2 linked regions of the Lytechinus pictus genome follow. The protein of the gene in region 2 interacts with the protein of the main gene of each other region in a pairwise test. Links are inferred from orthologs where the notes say so. Each region holds a gene or a part of one and is shown on either strand. Other genes may lie near its edges.

Evidence for each region.
Region 1: the proteins of WD repeat and FYVE domain-containing protein 2-like (region 2) and PRA1 family protein 2-like interact in a two-hybrid assay, tested with the Caenorhabditis elegans proteins (2 studies listed by BioGRID). The link is inferred for Lytechinus pictus from reciprocal best matches to the Caenorhabditis elegans genes wdfy-2 and praf-3.

The regions. Positions count from the first base shown.
Region 1 is NC_087247.1:8,073,401-8,083,576, forward strand, and holds the start of PRA1 family protein 2-like, read right to left. Parts: upstream 4,445-10,176; 5' UTR 4,294-4,444; coding exon of another isoform or gene 4,280-4,293; 5' UTR 4,069-4,279; coding exon 3,890-4,068; exon of another isoform or gene 3,840-3,889; intron 2,792-3,839; coding exon 2,574-2,791; intron 1,339-2,573; coding exon 1,199-1,338; 3' UTR 1-1,198. Other genes in the region: NEDD8-activating enzyme E1 catalytic subunit-like, read left to right, coding at 4,280-4,293, 4,945-5,059, 10,033-10,113.
Region 2 is NC_087260.1:22,059,600-22,069,058, forward strand, and holds the start of WD repeat and FYVE domain-containing protein 2-like, read left to right. Parts: upstream 1-5,181; 5' UTR 5,182-5,384; coding exon 5,385-5,533; intron 5,534-8,106; coding exon 8,107-8,174; intron 8,175-9,459. UniProt on the Caenorhabditis elegans protein: Plays a role in coelomocyte endocytosis.

The sequences.
Region 1 (10,176 bases), on a different chromosome or scaffold from region 2:
TTAGTTTTTTAGGATGTATTGATACATTCTTGGCAAGTATGCAATTACTATTACTGTCCATATGAGTTGAAGTGAAGAAGGAACACCATGAAAACAATATATATGCACTATTTCTTTCTTTTTACTTTGGCTGTGTCTTTCTTCATACATTTCCCTCTATATTCTTCACCTGACCACCTAATACCATTCACTACATATATCTGTGACCATAAGCATGTTTCCCATTAGACTAAACTACTAAAGATATATCCCATTCTTAGTTAAGTTATAAAATTATAATGAATCCATTATTAGTAGGAATAACAACTACATGTATATGATACTTGTTACAAATAAAAAATAATAATTCCCATTCACAACAAACAGTCCTGACACATTGCATTTATTAATAAGCTTATTTATAGGCTAAACATGTATAAATACTGTTATCATAAATATTAAATTGTAAAGTTCAAAATTTGCAAACTGTATCAAAACTACTTGTCTGGACTCATCAATTGTTTTAATACAAAGAAGTACAGCTTGTATACTTGTCCATGAAATTGATTTTCACAAATATGCAAGGGCAATGTACAAAACCCCGTACAATATTTTGTGAATAACTTGTATTTCAGTTGTGCCACATCTAGCGGGAGATGACATTCTTTGAAAGAACATCCAATTGTGTAATTTTAATAAACCCTGAATAATATATAGTTTTGTTATACTTTGAAATAGTTATCCATAAATACTCTTGGCTTCCGGTAAAAGTGGTTTTTTTTATTACTCAATAACAGTACCAACCTTTTGCCAGAGTCAATGATCTGTAATATATTGATTCTTAATCCAATTTAGGTTTGTAGCTAAACTTTATTTTTCTTGGTTGTTTAGTAACAACATCTTCTTTTGCTTCTTGTGCCAGCTCAACAGGAGCAAGTGATTGTGGACGATTTTGCGAAAGTTTACTTCCAGACGAACGATTTTCAGATGACTTACTTGAAGAAGACTTATTTCTTGATGGGAGAAGGGTCTTCATAATTATTCCTAAAGTCGCCAATGTACGAAATGATTGTTGACGGGGAGTGACTACCTCTCCTTCGTGAGGTACGTGGTACCAGCTTCCCTCTACCTCCTCGCCTCTCTCCAAACGATGCCTGAAGGTGTGCTCGTTGCCTTCAAGCAGTCTCTGGTTGCACAGTTGAAACCCCATTTTCTCTAGTCATGACCTTGCTTGCTCCTCCAGACCAATGGTAAAGAGGATGATGCCCATGGGTGTTCTCTTTAGACCAAGGGACTCCAGCTTCTTGCTCATCTTGTTCTTCATGTTGCGCATCCGCAGGGAGGCGTGGATGAAGATCACTGTAGGAAGACAAAGAAGAATGAAGATTCTGATAATCACACAAAAAAATTGAAACAAATGCAAACCATCATTAAAATCACTCAGGAAGCCATTACCACCAATGATGTGTGCACCCTCAGGGACTTGCTGTATATATTTTTTTCCTTCAGAATTACACATGCGCTCTTACTTTCAAGAAATCTGCAATCATCGTAGTGCTTGATGTAATCCAAAGCTATAGATACCCTATTGATTGGCCTTCATACATGTACTTCCCTCACTGTCTGTAAAGATTACTTTATAAGCACAAAGTCATAGGTTTCCCATTTATGCCATTATATAGAAAAATTCCCATTGAGAAAAATGGCCTTGCCTGAAAATTATTGAAATGTAAAGTCCGAAATGTGAATGACCATTCTGCCTAAAGATCACACACATGACTGTGTACATGTGAATCATAAACAAATGAAAATATTACCGGCAAATTAAAAACCCATTGATTAAAAAAACTATTGGGATTCCTCTTTCAACTTCCTCATGACAATTTGACCTCTTTGAACGGAATTACTCAATATTTCCTGAAAGATAGGAAGTAATGTGTCTGGACACCTAGCCTTCTAATTTAACATTTTTTTGTAGTAGGCCTAAATTCATTGTAACTGTTGCTGTCATAAAACATTTGAGACCCATATGTTCAAACAAAAGGTTTCTGAAATACATGTAGTGTCACAAGAAAATATCTGCAATCAATTGTAAATTTCTATCGATTGTAACTATAGCAAAATTGATGTTTACTTCTTACTGCAAGAAGCAGACGAGCAGGCAAGCATTAATTGCTAGAGTTATGGTTGATATTGGGACCTAAACTTGACTTGCAATTCGGTGGATTCACAATATGGTGTATCACCTATTCTGTTGTGTGCATGCATGCGAAATGCTGCACTGGCTGATGCGGTTTGGCCGGCTTCCATAAAATCATGCAGTGTACCAGGGTCCAGGAGGTGGGAGGGAAATTTACTGCATTTTTATTTGCGAAATTTAGACCGTTTTTTGATGAATTCTTACTCTGCTTCATGCCATATGGTTTTCATTTTTGAAGAATCAGTCACATAACACTGTGCGCTGCCTGCGCCTGCGCGTCATGTCGACCCCGAAGTTAGAAATTGGCCTGTCTGCTGCAACCGATAGATGCCGCACCGTATGGTGAATCCACCGAATTGACTGCAACTTTCTTGCAATGCCCCACGAGTCTTACCAGCTGCTGGTGCAGCCAAGCCCCAGATGAGAACGAGAATACTTCCAAAGAGATACATGAAAAGCCAGATCACCAAGCAGAGTGCAATTAGACAGATCACTGGATGGGCTTTCTTGAAATCGTTTACTTCTCTCTTATTGGCAGACCAGTAACCAAATCCGAAGAATGCTGCGATCACGATGGCTAAGCCCCATAACATCTGAACAGGGTTTATACAGCTGCAGAATATGAAAGGAAATGGCCAACTATATCATTGTATTCATACAATATTGATATATTTGTCTTTATAATTATGGGGGGCAATGTCCTGACATGTTAGTAGATAAAAGCATCATCTTATGCCTTGATTACAACAAAAACTAATGTCAAGCACAAATGTATGTGAAAGTTTGTAATCTGAAATTTTGTCCAAACTTCATTTTATGAAATATTGCTTGCAGAGTGCATGAAATTTTCATATTGCCTACAACTTGTCAGAACATGCATGACTTGGGTATAAATATTTTTACTAAATGCATCAGATTGTCATATAATCAGCAGTAATTTTGCTATTATTTTCATTTTCTTTGTCTTCTCAAACAATAACAATCTTCAAGGCTTAGATCTAAATTCTAATAAAATATTTTTGGGTAGTCTGATGACAACTAGTATCATATTCCATATTCCATTCCTTGTATTACCAAACGCACGAATCATAGGCGTCAGAAAATAATTTCATAAGCTAAAAGCTTTGCAATATCCTTCCAAATGGAACTTGAATAGAAGGATAATGAAAAATGGTCAAAAACACATTTTCTAAGTCTTTATATTCTCAACATCAGTGATTTTGCTGTTTTTTCAACTTTTACATGGAAAACACATGTTCGGTAATTACAATACCATTTTCAAGGGACCAAAAATAATATATTTCACATGCGAAGAGGGGTCCGACTAGTAGCTGATATCGTAAAAAAGAAAAATGATTTCGGCAAAATGTTTACATATTAATATGTCATAGCTCTTTGTGTATTCATGTTAAGAGTATGAGTTTGTTGAATTTTATAAGAATTTTGTGTTTGATATGATTGAATTCATAGTCATACCGGTACACTGATATTTACAGTGTTCGGTATTACGATCCACTCATGCACTATGTGTGAGAGCTTCTTCAACATTTTGTTTAACTTTAATCTGTTTGCTAAAACATCTGGGAAACCAGTCTTTGATTAAATGCTGACACCTGATAAAATAAAAGAAGTGATGACCACGCCCATTCCAAACAACATCATTCATCAATTTTCCAACACAAATAAAGGTGCATGGGGCAACGCACTCACCCAACAATAAGGAAAATGACGATAAGAGTGAGGAAATAATTCGATTGGTAGTACAATAAATTATCTATCACCCGATTGGCCCATCTGGTTGGATTTCCTAGGGCTGGGGCAGAAAATCTGGCCGATTCCTTGATGAAATCATCCAAAGAACGAAGAGGAGGGATTTCAATATCATCCATGATTGCGATGTTGACGTCAAATTTCACGAGCGCCAGCTCCGGCAGCAGTCGGAGAACATTTGCGACTAGTATCTCTGCCAGAACTTGTGGGGGAAACTTCTGCTAATATTCATGTCAAACTCTCCACAAAGGACTTATTTTGATATTTTTGATCATCCAAAATACATTCTATAGCTTCTGAACTTTCGAATAGTATCTACAATTTGTAAAAATGGCGGAAGAACCGTACGTATTTGTCAATTATGTTGGGGTTGTGCTTTTGTTGAGTTGTACAGTCCCATATGTTTATAATTGTGATGTAGGTCCAGAGTATGATACTGGCGGACGCGATTGAATGTGAGTGACTGCGGCTTTCTTGCAGGGGCCCCGATTCTCTACTTGGCGCTAATGCAGCTTCGCACCGGCCGACTTTGAGATAATTTCCCCACCAGTAATTGTTCACAAATATCATAGCAAGTCTCAAATCAAGATCAATAATGCTTTTCCGAATTTCGCGATTGGGTTTTTGGAATTGCTGTCCGCTTCGCTTAGATCTCTATGTTGTCATTCAAATTTTCATGCAGACAGCGCTTCTCTTGGATTCACTGTAATGCAGATATGGACTGAAGTTAGCAAAGTACGACAGCTCGCCCTTACGTTTGCAGTATGTTCGCATGATTTTGGTAACTTGCGAAGTAACTTCATCGCGTTTCATGCTTTTGTCACTTTTGAAAGTTGTTGAAGCAAGAACTTCTTTTAGAAAATCAGGGCAGTTGAACTCAGGTTCAAATAAGTGTTTAGTTTCCAAAAACAGGAATGTCCAATTCTTTAAAAAGTAAATCAGTTATGTATAAAGCAACCCTGAGTGAATTTATCATATTTCTTACCTTTTTCCAGGATGACAGTGGACAGTCCAGAAACAGCAGACTGGTCAGGACGATGGACACACATCAGAAAACTATTGGAAAGATCAGGACCTTTGGCTACTCCAGAATTTGAGCCAAGTTCAGAGGTAGGCTCTATATCTTTCAAAATTTAAGCTTTTAAAGGTTGAATTTTTATTGAATTATAATGCCTCATCTTTTATTATGTTTAATCATCTCAAAAATACCTGCTTGGTATGCAGACCACTCACCAGCACATAGTGATATGTACAAGATCTTGTACAGACGTACAAGATCATCAATGGCATTGATGATTTGAACAAGGAGATGTTCTTTACATCTGCATCAACTCAGACAACACGTGGACATCTATGCAAATTGTATGTGAAGAGAAGCAGACTGGATGTTAGAAAAAATACTTTCAGTGCCAGAGTTGTAAATGACTGGAACTCCTTGCCGGCAGAGATAGTTACTACATCAACGTTGAACAGATTCAAGTCACAGTTAGACAAGTTTTGGTCTGCAGTGCAATATACTCACCCTTGGGAATAGTAACTCTGGCACAGCACACAGGCACACGTTATTTTAATAGTTAGATGGAGATAGCAACAGTGATAGACCTGGAAACACGACTGCATAAGTAATTGCATTTTTCCAGTAGATCCGGTAATAAAGGTAATAAAGGTAATAAAATGACTATGTATTGATTCAATTTTTTTTTCTATTTTATATGATTAGTTAACCCTCATTTCAGCAATTTTTGACAAAGCTAAGGGGGAAAAATGTCAGTAAAATAGGGTATGAGGCATCAGAAAATATCACACAAACATATTTTTTTATGGACCAGTTATATACTTTGTCATTTTTAATGAAATTGAGAATGAAATTTAAATAGTAATAATGATATATATTGAATTTTGATAAAATTAAAGAAATATCACAGAGTGAGATTTTCTTGTGGACCAATCATTACTTAAAAATTGGAATTAAATTTAAATGCAATTTGTTAATCATTTGCATGAAATTTAAATTAACATCAAAGAAAAGCTACAGAAACAGACTTTTTGTAAAACCAACCAATTTAACTGAAATTTAGATGAAATGTAAATAATGATAATGATTCAGATAAAATTGAACAAATGTCACAAAGACCTGTAGGAGATTTCTGTGGAACAATTATTAATCACTAAATATCACTTAATCACAAAGAAGGTATATAATAATATCCAAGTCCTTTGGAAGCACATTTAGACGTTATTCATAATGTATTATGCGCTATACAAGAACTGACTATTATTATTATTAAAGTATACATCCAAAGAAAATTCACGAAAGTGATGATTATAGACAAATTATATATGAATGGAAAGGTCTTGTCTTTTTATACACAAATATGTCACTAAAAAGTCTTATTGATGTCGTGGAAATGCAAGATATGAAATTATTAGAGACCCTTCTCAGCCCCCCAGCCGCCCCCAGACACACACTAACGCGATTAAATACAGTCGAGAATAATGACGTCACATGATGATCGACTCACTCAGCCGCTCTCTAGCTCTGTTCAAGCCAGCAGTACACTGATAGCTGATTCACCTTCCTGGTCTCTATTTTTCTTCGAATTTACCGTTTTCTTCATGTATTGTGATATCCGAATTCTGTTTTCGACAACTTCAGACTATAAGGGAACCAGAACTGTGTTATTTTGCCCGGTTTTTATTGAATTGTGAACTGGAAAGATTGATTTTGTCCACTCGACAGTCTTCGTTGTGTTGCTCTACTAACTATTGAAAAACTCCAAGCTGCACGGTCCCATTCACTTGCTCCCGATGCATGTTGCAGGTTACGCTGTTTGATCCAGTCAAAAGTCAAGGTAAGCATGTTTGGAAACTGTACTTGTTCTGACGATGCATTCAGGTCAGATGACAGATACAGATCTGATATAAGTTTAGAATCATGCATTTTGGCGTATACTATTAAAATTAAAAAGTCTTTATTTTAGAAATAATGTTTTTGCACAATTCCAGCAGATTTTTTCTTCAGATTTCTAAAACTGGTCAGGACTCAGGCAGGCGATTAAATTATTTAGGAGCACTGGTATGGACCATGGCTGAAAATCTGCTGTTTCAGAGGAATGTTTAAGTTTTTATTATACACAGAAATATATCACCATGATGCCGATGTCTTGAAGCCAGACAAATTTTCAGCAGTGATTACCCTGATTCCTGGCCAAAATCACTCACACGTATTGCGAGGTTAGTATTAGTATACTAACCTCGCACCACGAACCGCGTTTGGCAGTGGATTTCTAACTAGTGGGTCGCGCGTGCTGGGATCTCACTTCTTGGGTCCACAACACACGACTTCTATGGCTTGAATTTTCTTTGCGCGGCGGCATGTAATGAACCCTTGGGTGCCGGCCAAAATTAGACTTTTAGAGTCTGGTGTTTCTTTCTGATAAGAGTGTTGCTGCATATATGCATGCGTAATGCCTTCAACAATGAAGATAAATGCAATCTTTGTAATGACACAGAGACTCAGAGAGCACCGTACCTCAAGTGATGTTCGTGTAGTCTCCACTTCACTACTGCTACAGCCTACACTACGCTACACACCTACCCGGGTAGGTGTGGCGTACATGTACGGTAGTGTAGCGGTAGTGAAGTGGAGTGGGGCCTGCACAAACATCACTTGAGGTAGAGCACCAGTGTTCTGAGTGGAACTTTTCAGGTGTCTTAACCTACTATCATTTGTTGTTGACCGGGAATTACATGCCACCGCACGTCATCAATCATCACGATAATTAAATTCATACTTTGATTTGATTATTTAAACTATTTCTTTTTTTCTCTCTTCTACACACAGATCTGCACAATTGCTGACTCTGGTGACTTCTGGTCTCTGCTTGCTACCTCAATCTGGGAGATTCCATCATGTCCTTTTACTATGATTTGGATATAGCCATTTTTTTCTTCACTCTTTCCAGGACCTACGGTTTGCAAGTTGTGGACTGATAATGATACAAAAGAAAAATTTTCTTTATCAATCTTGGAAACAATTTTGAGCACAGTTTTGGAGAGAACTAAGAAATTTGACTTGGACAGGAATACAGCTTGTCAAAAATAATAACACACAACTTTAAACGAAAGAACAATTTTAATGTTACTAGGGCATTTTGCGAGAAATGTTATACTCAATCACACGTCCCAAATCAAGGGTAAGTCCTTTGATTAAACATGTAGTTGAATTGCGATTGCAACTCGACCTTATTACGCTTGAATTTGAATTTAAGACTTACGCTTGATTTGCAATTGAACATAAGTTTCTTGCAGTGCCCCATAATTATGTTTTGTTATCAGATATTTAACGTGCTGATTTTTCTCGAAAGGTATAATATATTTGTCCTTTTAAACGGTATTTGAATATGGGTACGCCTTTTATTTGTTTTCCACAATATTTATTGCATGTATGAACAGAAGTGAAATATTTATTGTGAAGCACTGTGAATGTTGTGTGCTGTTGTGTGATGGTTCATCATTTTTGTTATAAGACTGAAAGCCTGGTGGATGTGAGGAAGTGGCCTGGATGAAAGAAAAGTGAACATGTGTCCAATTACTGATTTGCATATTCTAAGACAATTTTGTTTCTGGATAAATTTTGCTATGCATTCCCTACATTAAGAGTAAAGGAGAAGTCCACGCAATCAAAAATTCATTTGAATTTAAAGAAAAATAACAAGATATTGCAGGAAATTTCATAAAAACTTTGATTCAAATTTATATAATCACTATTTTAACAGTTCCGTAAATATAACCTATTGTGATCAGATGAAGAGTTTCCTATCGTCAAATCTGCAAAGAATAAAAAACAAAATGCCACAAAAAATAGAAACGAATGTGATGTGAGTGACAACTCTAATTTGCATATCATTGTTTTGTGTATATGACTGTTTTGAGTAAAAACAACAAGGGAAATTACTCTATTCAAATAATTTTTAGTTGATGTGGACTTGACTTTTAACTCTACCCCTCCCATCCCAAATAAGAGTAGAAATAATCTAATCAAGAACTTGAAAATCAAAAGCAGCAATTAAGAAGCAAGATTTGATAAATACAGGTCTGAATAGAATTTCACAAGAAAATAAAAAGAGAAAAAAAGATGGGTAGGGACGGGGAAGGAATTTAAAAAAAATGCCCAGAAAAAAAAATCCGAGTTTCGAACCAGGGTCCTCGCACATGACAAAACATTGGCCAACGCATTTGGCCACAGACCATTGCCTTACCGGAGAGGCATTTTTAAGATATATGAAATAAAGTCCGCTCGCCGCTGTTGCCTAATAATGCTTCGGCAATTCAACTGCAATTTCAGTCATTTCGCGATGGATATTGCCGTGTTTTTTTTGTGGTTCCTGACTTTGCTACTTAATGAAATTTCATAATTTTTGTTCAGTCATAAAGAAGAATGTCTATGCTTTATATTGTTTATAATATTAATGTGACGCAAGTGTGATTTCTACGTGAAAATATGCTTTGTTTATTCACATATATTTCTTGAAAAAAAAAAAATTCTAAGCTAAATATCGGTTACCAAAATACATTAAATGTGCACTTTTTTTCACTGTTCAGTAAATTCAAACTTTTATCTATATAACAAGACCAATATTAAGAGCAATAAACAATTCTAAGAGCAAAAAACGCTGATTGGAAAGATCGTCTCCAATGGGCTGCTGTCAGCTCAGCTGCTCTGCTCATTGTGTGACGTCACTCAGCTGGAGCTCGCAAGAGGACCGGTGGAAGGCAGAAATATGGCATGAAAATAAATCATTTTTGAGAGCTGATTTCTGCAAACTCTGATCACTATTTTGAAAAGTGAAGTTATATATCTGATTAGTAATACTTCCCCTTTACAATGATGACCACATAAAGTCATTATAAAATACTTTTGATTCTTCGGATGTATACTTTAATCTTTGTACAAGTGGAGAAAGTTTTTGACATATATTGCATATTATCAATATTTTATTTGCCCTGAAAAAAAAGAAACTGAATCAAACCTGTCTGTACCGAGTGTATCTTCTCATTTCTGTTATATTCTTTCCTAATAGCTTCTTGGTATCATGTTGGAGCATCTGAAAGTCTTGGTGATTGGGGCTGGAGGTCTTGGTTGCGAGATTCTTAAAGATTTGGTAAGATTCCCAATTGCATTTTTATTATCATTCTTTTGAGAAATTAGCACTGGGATTATTGAA
Region 2 (9,459 bases):
CTGATCATCGTCAGGGTGGTATCCCGAGACTCAATCCCACTCAATCATGACAATCGACAAGTGCATGTCTGAAAGTATTTCAATCCCGTCTAGGTAAGGATTTAGAAGTATTTTTGATTGATTCCATCCAGTCTACAGTTATTTACTCAAACAAAGTAAACACTTTTCTTTAAAGTAGAGGACTTTGTTTAGAAGAATGAAAAAGATTTCCCTGTCACGGCGCGACTTCGAACATTCCTGTAAGTCTGGCCGTCATCGGAAGCGATCCTCGTCGTGAATGAAACGGACTGATGCTAACAGCTGACGTTTTCGACGGTCCGGGGAAGTAAAAGAGGAAGAAGATGTTTGCATCAGATGTTTTCTCCCGTCGGCCAAGGAAGGATGCCGAGAGAGTGAAACTTCTAATCCCGGTGTCTTAACTGGAGGAGACGTCTTTTGAGATGGGTGACGAGCTGAGCCACAAAGAGGAAGGCATTTAACTATTCCGCGCGGGGTACCATTTCTTGTCCGTCCGTCAAAATACTAAGTAGTTGATGTGCTGAATTGTTGGGAGTGCTGAAGGCCTATAGTGTTTTGGATCTTGCCCCAGAGTGGATGAAGAAAAGTCATAGAAAGTTTTGAGTGTTTTATTTTGCAAAATTTACTGATGCGGGAAAGACAGGCAGAAATATAGGTAACACTGAGATAGGAAGAAGGGGAGAGATGGGAGCAGTGCTTCCACAACTTAAAACTGGAATTCGGCTTATTTGAGCTCCAAAATTTCCTTAAATTTTGACAAAATTCCTTGAATTAGAGTCTGGAGAAAACCTGTCTATATTTTTGCTTTACAAGCCTAGTTTTTCACTGATCATGTAGAATGTTGCATACATGTATTAACAGATCAAATGCTAAGCCTAATAATAGTTGCTGAATGTTCAGGCACAGAGAAGAAAGTAAAGAAACAGAACTAACAGAAACGTCTTTATGCACAGTATGGTAGTCAGTGGCGCGCCGTGGGTCATGGCATTGGGGGGGGGGGCACCAGCAAAAATGTTGAGTCACTTAGTGGGCGCGCGAAGTGCGCTCAATTGCCACATAATTATATAACCTAATAGAGATATTTTAAGGACGGTGTCATTAAACGGTTATGTATCTCACTTATCAAATAATGCGAGCGCGAAGCGCGAGCTGATTTTTTTTTATATTCAGACCTAAGAAAGGCTATCATGAGCAAAGTTTTGTAATCATGATACGTATCTAAACAAACAATGCGAGCGCGAAGCGCGAGCTGAAATTTTTGTATATTGGCCCGAAACAGGGACATTTTAAGGACTGTTTAAGGGAATTTATAAAGAGCATATATATCTCACCATAGTCATCTAATGCGAGCGCCATGCAAGCGCTTGCTGATTTTGTTAGAATTACAGCTTACCCATGAAACACATTTTGCAGTCATTGTAATCATGAACATGATACATATCTGACTACTCAACTATTGCGAGCGCGAAGCGCGAGCTGAAAATTTTTGAAATTCAGACCTGAAGAGGGGCATTCTAAGGCTTGTTTGTAGTAATTCAATAAGACCATTATACGTATTTCATTAACCAAATGATTTTCCTCCGTTATTTTTTTTTGCCCCCCGTAGTTACGCCACTATGGACTCTATTGTGAGTTGTGTGCAGTGCACACAACTCACAATAGCTTAGTCCAGAGCTATAGTTATCACTGTGCGCAGATAAAATACATGTCTCAGCATGCCAAGGAAAAAGAAAGTATAGCACATCAGCCAGCATATAAGAAAATTTAAATAAATGTGGATTTAGTAGTCTGACATCCAGTCGTTTATTGTGTGAGAAATGAAACATTTTTAAGATTCATCATTATTTTTTTTCTTTATTTTCCTCGAAATTCAATCAATTTCCTTGAATTCTCAGATTTCCTTGGATTTCCTTAAACATTCCTAAATATTCCTTGACTTTTTTCATTTTTCCTTGTAATTCCTTGAATAGTCAAAATTCCTTTTAAAAATCCTTGTGGAGTCAAAAGATCCTTAAAATTCTCTAAAACAAGGAAATTTCCTTGCAAGTGGAAGCACTGGATGGGAGAGATACCCTGGAGAGAGAGAGAGAAGAAAGAGCTGAGAAGTGGGAGAGAGAGGGAGAGAGAGGTTAGAGGAGAAACGAAGAAAGAGCTGAGAATTGGGAGAGGGGGAGAGAGGGGGGGGGGAGAGAGGGAGTCGGAGGGGAGGGGGAGAGATCGAGAGAAGGGGGATGGGTCAAGAGGGGGCTGGGAGATGGAGAGGAAGAAAGTGTTAATATAGGGTTATTTAAAAAGGGGATTCTTAATTTCATTAGTGAGTAAAACATATTTGAAAAAAAAAACGTGCACACATATATTTTGTCGTCAATTTGCGTATATAGGCTTATTGGAGGATTTAGATAAAACAGAGTAATACCTTATATAATCATGATATTAAAAAAAAACATAACTATATACTGACCGATTTAAAATTACCATGAACAACATAACCTATACAGACCGATTTAAAATCACCATAAACAAGAAAACCTATTCTGACCCATTTAAAATCACCATACACTGACAAAGTTTTTGCAACCTATAACTGGTTGTCCGACTTTGTTTTGACTTCACCTATCTGCTTCTCTGACACGTCTCGTATTTCTTCTTCTTCTTTAAAAAAATGTATTTATCCAATAAGAGTAGCTTTATAGTAATTTTGATTCCCTTTAACTAATCATCACATATATATTTTCAATCTTTGCTTTTATTCTTAATCAACCGAGTATATTGACAAGTTTTCTTTTTCATGTTTGTTTTGTACTCTCTTTGTGCTTGAAATAATCATGAACAATTTGTTTTTTTTTTAAAGCGCCCTTCACCTCAGTCATCAGGGCGCTGATACCGTGTTATATTCAGTTCAAAACGCGTTAATATTCACTGGTAAAAATAACCAATTTTCTCGCGGTCGCTGCATGGCGGGTCCTCTCACAAATGCAGGCTTTTTTGCCTAAACTGTGTTGTTGGGTCCAAAATGCACAACAGTCGTTTCTTCACTTCAATGCCTTTACATACCGCACATTGAAGTCAACATATTCACTTGCTCCCTCGCTTATATTATTTTCTAGGAAGCTGATACCTAATATCCATATTATCTTGTCTGGATAAGCCATTTATTTTAGCTTTGCATTTAAGTGTGAAAGAAAATAAAATTTGTATGCATCTGTATATAAAAATCGCCACCGTAGGAGGGACCAACCCATCGCACCATTCCCCCCGATTGCCCCCCTCTCCTCCTCCTGGATGCGGCATAGTCTGCAGGCACAGACCCTGATTGAAACTTTTTTCATCATGGTATATTGGTATTCACACGCAAATAAAAGACTAGCTCATATTAAAACTTTAGTGAGAGGACGTTCAGTACACGAGGCTTTATAGGCTTCACATTCAGACACTTAACTCAAGTGAGGGTTTTGCAGAGCAGACTAGCTGCGGCACGCAGTCTGTGATCCACCCAAAGACCTTAGGGGATCCACCCCATGCAGGCTCCCACCCCCACCCCGACTCCCAGACTAACAACTTTCTCGACTCCATCTCCCTCTATATTTTCATTTTATAATATGACTAAAGATTTTACTGTATGGGGAGATACCAGTCTTTCAGCCAATCTGTTAAACCAAGATTTATTCAGACATGATCTGACGTTGCTCACTTTAGAAAAACAATCATGCTAATTTTTGTTTTTACACAGGATTTTCGATATGTTTATGTCAAAGTCACTTTTCAAAATGGGCACAATTTCATATTACAGCATGGTCACAACAAATACAAGGTCGGTCATAATGGGAAGGGGGGGGCATTGGGGCCAACCTATAGGGCATATGAGACCATGACTTTCGATCGCCTCAGGTTGAATTAATTAATAATCTCTGTATACTAGAGTAGATAGTATCTGTAGACATGGCAGAAACAACCAGCAAATAGACGCTCCTCGATCTTCTTCTAATTTTTCATGAAAACGGGTTCTGTTTCATAAAACTTGTTATAATGACAATTTGGTAAAAAAGCAATTAAAATCGATTTGATTGGCTGATGGTAAACTTGTTATAGAAATTGTGCAATCATTAAGTCTTATGAAACGGGCCACTATTGGATACAGAGGCAGGGCCGATGATCGGAAGGGGGGCGGGGATGATCGCCCCTATGTCGCCCCTATGCTTTTTCAATAAAAAAAGGGGAAGCCGGAAGGAAAGTGAAGAAGATGGATGAAAATTAGGCCTAAATGAAATTTTTATATGCCATGTTTCTCTATTCAATCGAGAAAAATGAATTAAATGACACCTTTGCGGGGCGTCTTAAACTAACCCCAAAATTATTCTGGCCCAATTCTTGCAGGAGAGATTATTACAGGTTGATTTATCTTATCGTTATTCATTCGTTTTCTTGTCAGTGGAGGGGAGCTAGGGTGGACCAAATTTCATCATCCCTTTTTATTTTTTATTTAATCAGTAACCCTAATATATAAGGCAATCTGACTGGGTTCCCTTGCACTGAAGTGCATTATCTCCCTTATAAGATTTTCATATAGGCCTATTAAATTTAAAAAAAATCCCTTTTGTGCTCTTTCACGAAATTAGGATCAAATTCCAAAACATTCTTCAGTTTTGGCAAAAGGGAAACCACTTGAGAGAGTCTGAGAGGAGTGGGGATGGTCGGGGGGGGGGGGGAAGATTTGAAAGCCATACCCATTTAAAGGATATTGATTATTATTGTGACAGAAAAGGGTATAGGCCTATATTAATTAAATATTTTCTTCCAAAAGGAAAAGAGACCCACGTTTGCAAGCAAAAGAAGGGGGGAAGGCAATCGCTTCGAAATGAATTTAGTTTGGTAGCCAGATATACATTTGACAAGCACATGCAAAAGATAAGTTTTAAGCCCCCAGCATATCCCCAGGATATTGTCCGGGATATTGTGGGGGCTCACGCCCCACCAGACCCAGGCACCAGACATGAATAGCTACAGGGTATAACGGGATAGGTAATTATTGTGGTTTAATTGAATTCGTGTTTCTTTATCTTCTGTTTCATTAGAGTACCATTAAAAATGAATGCACTGACAGTACCATCTTGCACTCTCCTCTGTCTCGTACAACCTTTGAACTTTTTGTTTTCAAATGACGTCATTGTCATATGAGCTGTATACCATTTGCACAATGCACAGTATATCGCTTTGTGTTATGTTGTGCACCAAAGTATCGCGTATGGTCATGAATGTATTTGCATTCGTTTGACTCTGCCTTATTTAAATGCAACTTTTAAACGATTTCGAAGCTGAAATCAATGATTTCAGAGTACGTTTCATCTTGTAACTTATTCTGCATTTGAATGAGCACGATGGCAGCCGATGAACGGCCGAGCAGACTGAAAAACAGGAAACCGGTTTTAATGAACAAATTGGAAGGTTGCAGCGGAAAGGTGAACAGTGTTGTGATTATCCCCAAAGAAGATGGAGTGATTAGTGTGAGCGAAGATAGGTAAGATTCTTGAAGTTGAAGGTCTGAAAGAATTTTCTTTATTGAGACTAATTGGTTTAAGAAAATGAAGGGGGAATGGAGGGTATCGTTTTTTTAATATGGAGCATTTTAAACTTAGTGTTACTGTTACTTTCTATAACTTAGTTTCAATTTTTTCATGACATTTGTCTGATGATTTGTCAGGGAAAGAGAGATTAAAAACAACAACAAAACATTGTGATGACTGGCTCTGAGTGATGGTGGAGTTAGGGTCAAAGACACACACTTTGTATTCAAAGGCTTGTGCAATCACATGATGGGGTAATCATGTAACCCAACCAATCGAGAAAAGGTCCTACCCACTGGGCAATTTGTTACCGATTACCAATTTTACCGGTTATTACCGGTAATATCACCCGGAAATTTGAGTAACACCAAATATTACCGTTATTACCATGTTATTACCGAAATTATAATTCCTGTTGATACCTGTTACTGTTATCACCCTGATGAAACCTACATTTACCTAGTTACAACAGGGTGATGAGGGGTAATAAGGGTAATGTTGAATGACTTTGATTGCATGGTTATAACATTGCAGACTTTAGTAATAAGAGCAATCTTACAGCAATCCCAGTGAAATTTTCAAAGTCCAAAAAATTACTGTTATCACCCTGATGAAACCAACATTTTACCCAGTTACAAACAGGTTGATAAGGGGTAATGGGTAATGTTGAAACGCTTCCATTCCCAGACAGCAAAGTATCTGGATCACATACGGTTCTTATCTGGGATATCTGGGTCCCATATGGGCCCACATGGAACCCAGATGAAAACATATACTTGAACCCACATGGTGCCCAGATAGGACTCAGATGGAAACGAGACCTCCAACCCATGCGGAACCCAGTAATATTGGGTAAATGGAGTAATATCAGATGGTAATATCAGGAAAATGCTGGGAATATTAGTTACTCATGAATATTCATTACTACAATAAATGGCCAAAATTTTAGCTAATATAGCTGTAATAATTAATGTGTTTATGTTTATGCAATTATTCCACCCAGAAAATTTTCAGAAAAATGTGTAGTTTATATATCATATTAGTCATAATCATGACATTAATTTTAGAAAAATGTTTTAGGGTTGAATAATTGTTAACCATAATTTGTCAAGTGTTGTAAACTCGCTCAATATACAGAAGTAAATGACAGGGTTTGGTGGATAGGTGTAGGATAGGATTAGGATTAGGATGTAGGATTTTAGGATAGGATAAGATGATATGGCTTAGAGTATGGAGTTGTAAAAATGTGCTTCAATGACCCTAATGACACTAATTGTTTTTTTAATGAGCCGACATTAATTGGGTAATATTGGGTAAACAGAGTAATATGAGGTGGTGATATCATTAAAATGCTGGAAATAGTAGTTACATCATACTGAGAAATATTGGGTAAATGGAGTAATATCAGGTCCAGGTAATAAAAGCGAAGGATTGGTCTACTATTTCCCTGTTATTACCCACTGTTGTTACCGTAGTAATATCCATGTTATTACCTGTTACAACCCGGGTAATGTCAGGTAAAATGCCCAGTGGGTAATTTCCTGAAATGTCAGGTTAACATGGTAACTGACCTTACGAGAAACAAAATCCCTAAATTCTCAAGAGGTCTGGTCCAATTTACCCAATGTTTTGTGAAAATTATAGCTTAAATATACAAAGCAGGGGCCGCGGAACCGGGGGGGCTGGGGGGGCTGAAGCCCCCCCACTTTTTTCCAAAACCGTGTACAAAAATGTAAAAATGACCATATGATTGTGATTTTTAGCATGGTCAGCCCCCCCACTTTTGGCTCAGCCCCCCCCCACTTTGAAAACCGTTCCGCGGCCCCTGCAAAGGGTTGGGTAAAATGGACCTTAAGTTTCAGGAATTTAGGGGGCCCTTTTCTTGTATTTTTTAAGGTTACACAAATTCCCGACCAGACGCAATAAACCTGATAAATTGCACAAGCCATATTCAAATGATCCGAACTGAAGTGAATGGCTTGAAAATAAAAGCTTAAACTTGTAATGATGTTTTATGCTGTTTTCATTATGATAGAAAAAAATATAACAAAAAATCACAATGGTCACAAAAGCAACAAATCATATCGAAATACTTCCTGACTGTATACCAGCCTCTCCCTTTTATTAAACCATATGTAAGTTGTCATAGGTGCTTGTTTTGGAAGGGGTCCTACAGCTATATACTTGTTTTTTTTTTTATGTGTCCGAGATGATGTGTCCATTCTTAAAGGAAAACAAGAAACACAGATCACAAGATGGGATGAATTAACGGTTTATGAACCAAATTTTCATTTGACAAAGTATGTTATTTAAGTGGAGGAAGTGGAAATTAGATCATCTGCCTATTTGACTAAATGACGGATTCTTGCATGTAAAGTGAGTATTAGACCAAGTGATAGTTTTAACCAAAAGACGTTTAGACCAATGTCATGGTGGGTTTTATAGTCATGGTTGTGTTCAATCTTGTCTGTTGCAAGAAATTTATCAACCATTTAGATTTTATTTCTCTTTTCTTTGACACTTGCAGGACTGTTCGGGTATGGCTAAAAAGAGATTCAGGAATGTACTGGCCTAGCATCTGTCATTCACTCTCAAGTAAGATTATAGGAGAATCAATATTTTTAGTTCAATTTTTTTTGGCATGATATATCAAATTCTCTGTTAAATTTTTGTTTATTCTTCATTATCTGCACATATTTTCAGGGCAAGGTCAAGCATTTCATGAAACAAAGATTTTCACGGTAAATTGCCAATTCGTCTATTGCCAACTCGTCCACTCATTAAATTTACATTGTCTCCCTTCATGTAGTCTAATGCCATTCCATCCATCAATATTTTTTCTAACAACCATTTGGTCCAATAATCATTTGGTCCAATCATCACTTCGTCTAATCACCATTTTTGTCTCGCCTGCATAGCAGAGCGAGACTATAGGCGCCGCTTTTCCGACGGCGGCGGCGGCGTCAACATCAAATCTTAACCTAAGGTTAAGTTTTTGAAATGACTACATAACTTAGAAAGTATATGGACCTAGTTCATGAAACTTGGACATAAGGTTAATCAAGTATTACTAAACATCCTGCCTGAGTTTCAGGTCACATGACCAAGGTCAAAGGTCATTTAGGGTCAATGAACTTAGACCTTGTTGGGAAAATTATTTTCAAAATCTTAACCGAAGGTTAAGTTTTTGAAATGACATCATAACTTAGAAAGTATATGGACCTAGTTCATGAAACTTGGGCATAAGGTTAATTAAGTATTACTGTACATCCTGCCTGAGTTTCAGGTCACATGACCAAGGTCAAAGGTCATTTAGGGTCAATGAACTTTGGCCAAGTTGGGGGTATTCTTTGAATTACCATCATAACTTTGAAAATTTATGGATTTAGTTCATGAAACTTGGACATTAGGTTAATCAAGTACCACTGAATATTCTGTGCGAGTTTCAGTTCACATGACCATGGTCAATGGTCATTTAAGGTCAATTAACTTTGGCCGTGTTGGGGGTATATGTTAAATTACTATCCTAACTATGAAAGTTTATGGATCTAGTTCATAAAACTTGGACATAAGAGTAACCAAGTATCACTGAACATCCCCTGTGAGTTTCAGGTCACAAAACCAAGTCAAAGGTCAGTTAAGGTCAATAAACTTAGGCCATGTTGGGGTAATTGTTGAAGTGCCATCATAACTTTGAAAGTTTATGGATAGAGTGAATGAAATGTGGACATGGGTGTAGTTGACAGTCTTAAGTCTCCGTTCAAATGTCATTTATGGTCAATGAACGTGGTATTATGTCATTATATGAATGATTATTTTATAGTAGTTTTCAAAGTTAGCACTGCTACTATATTAAATTGCGTAATGCAGGCGAGACTGC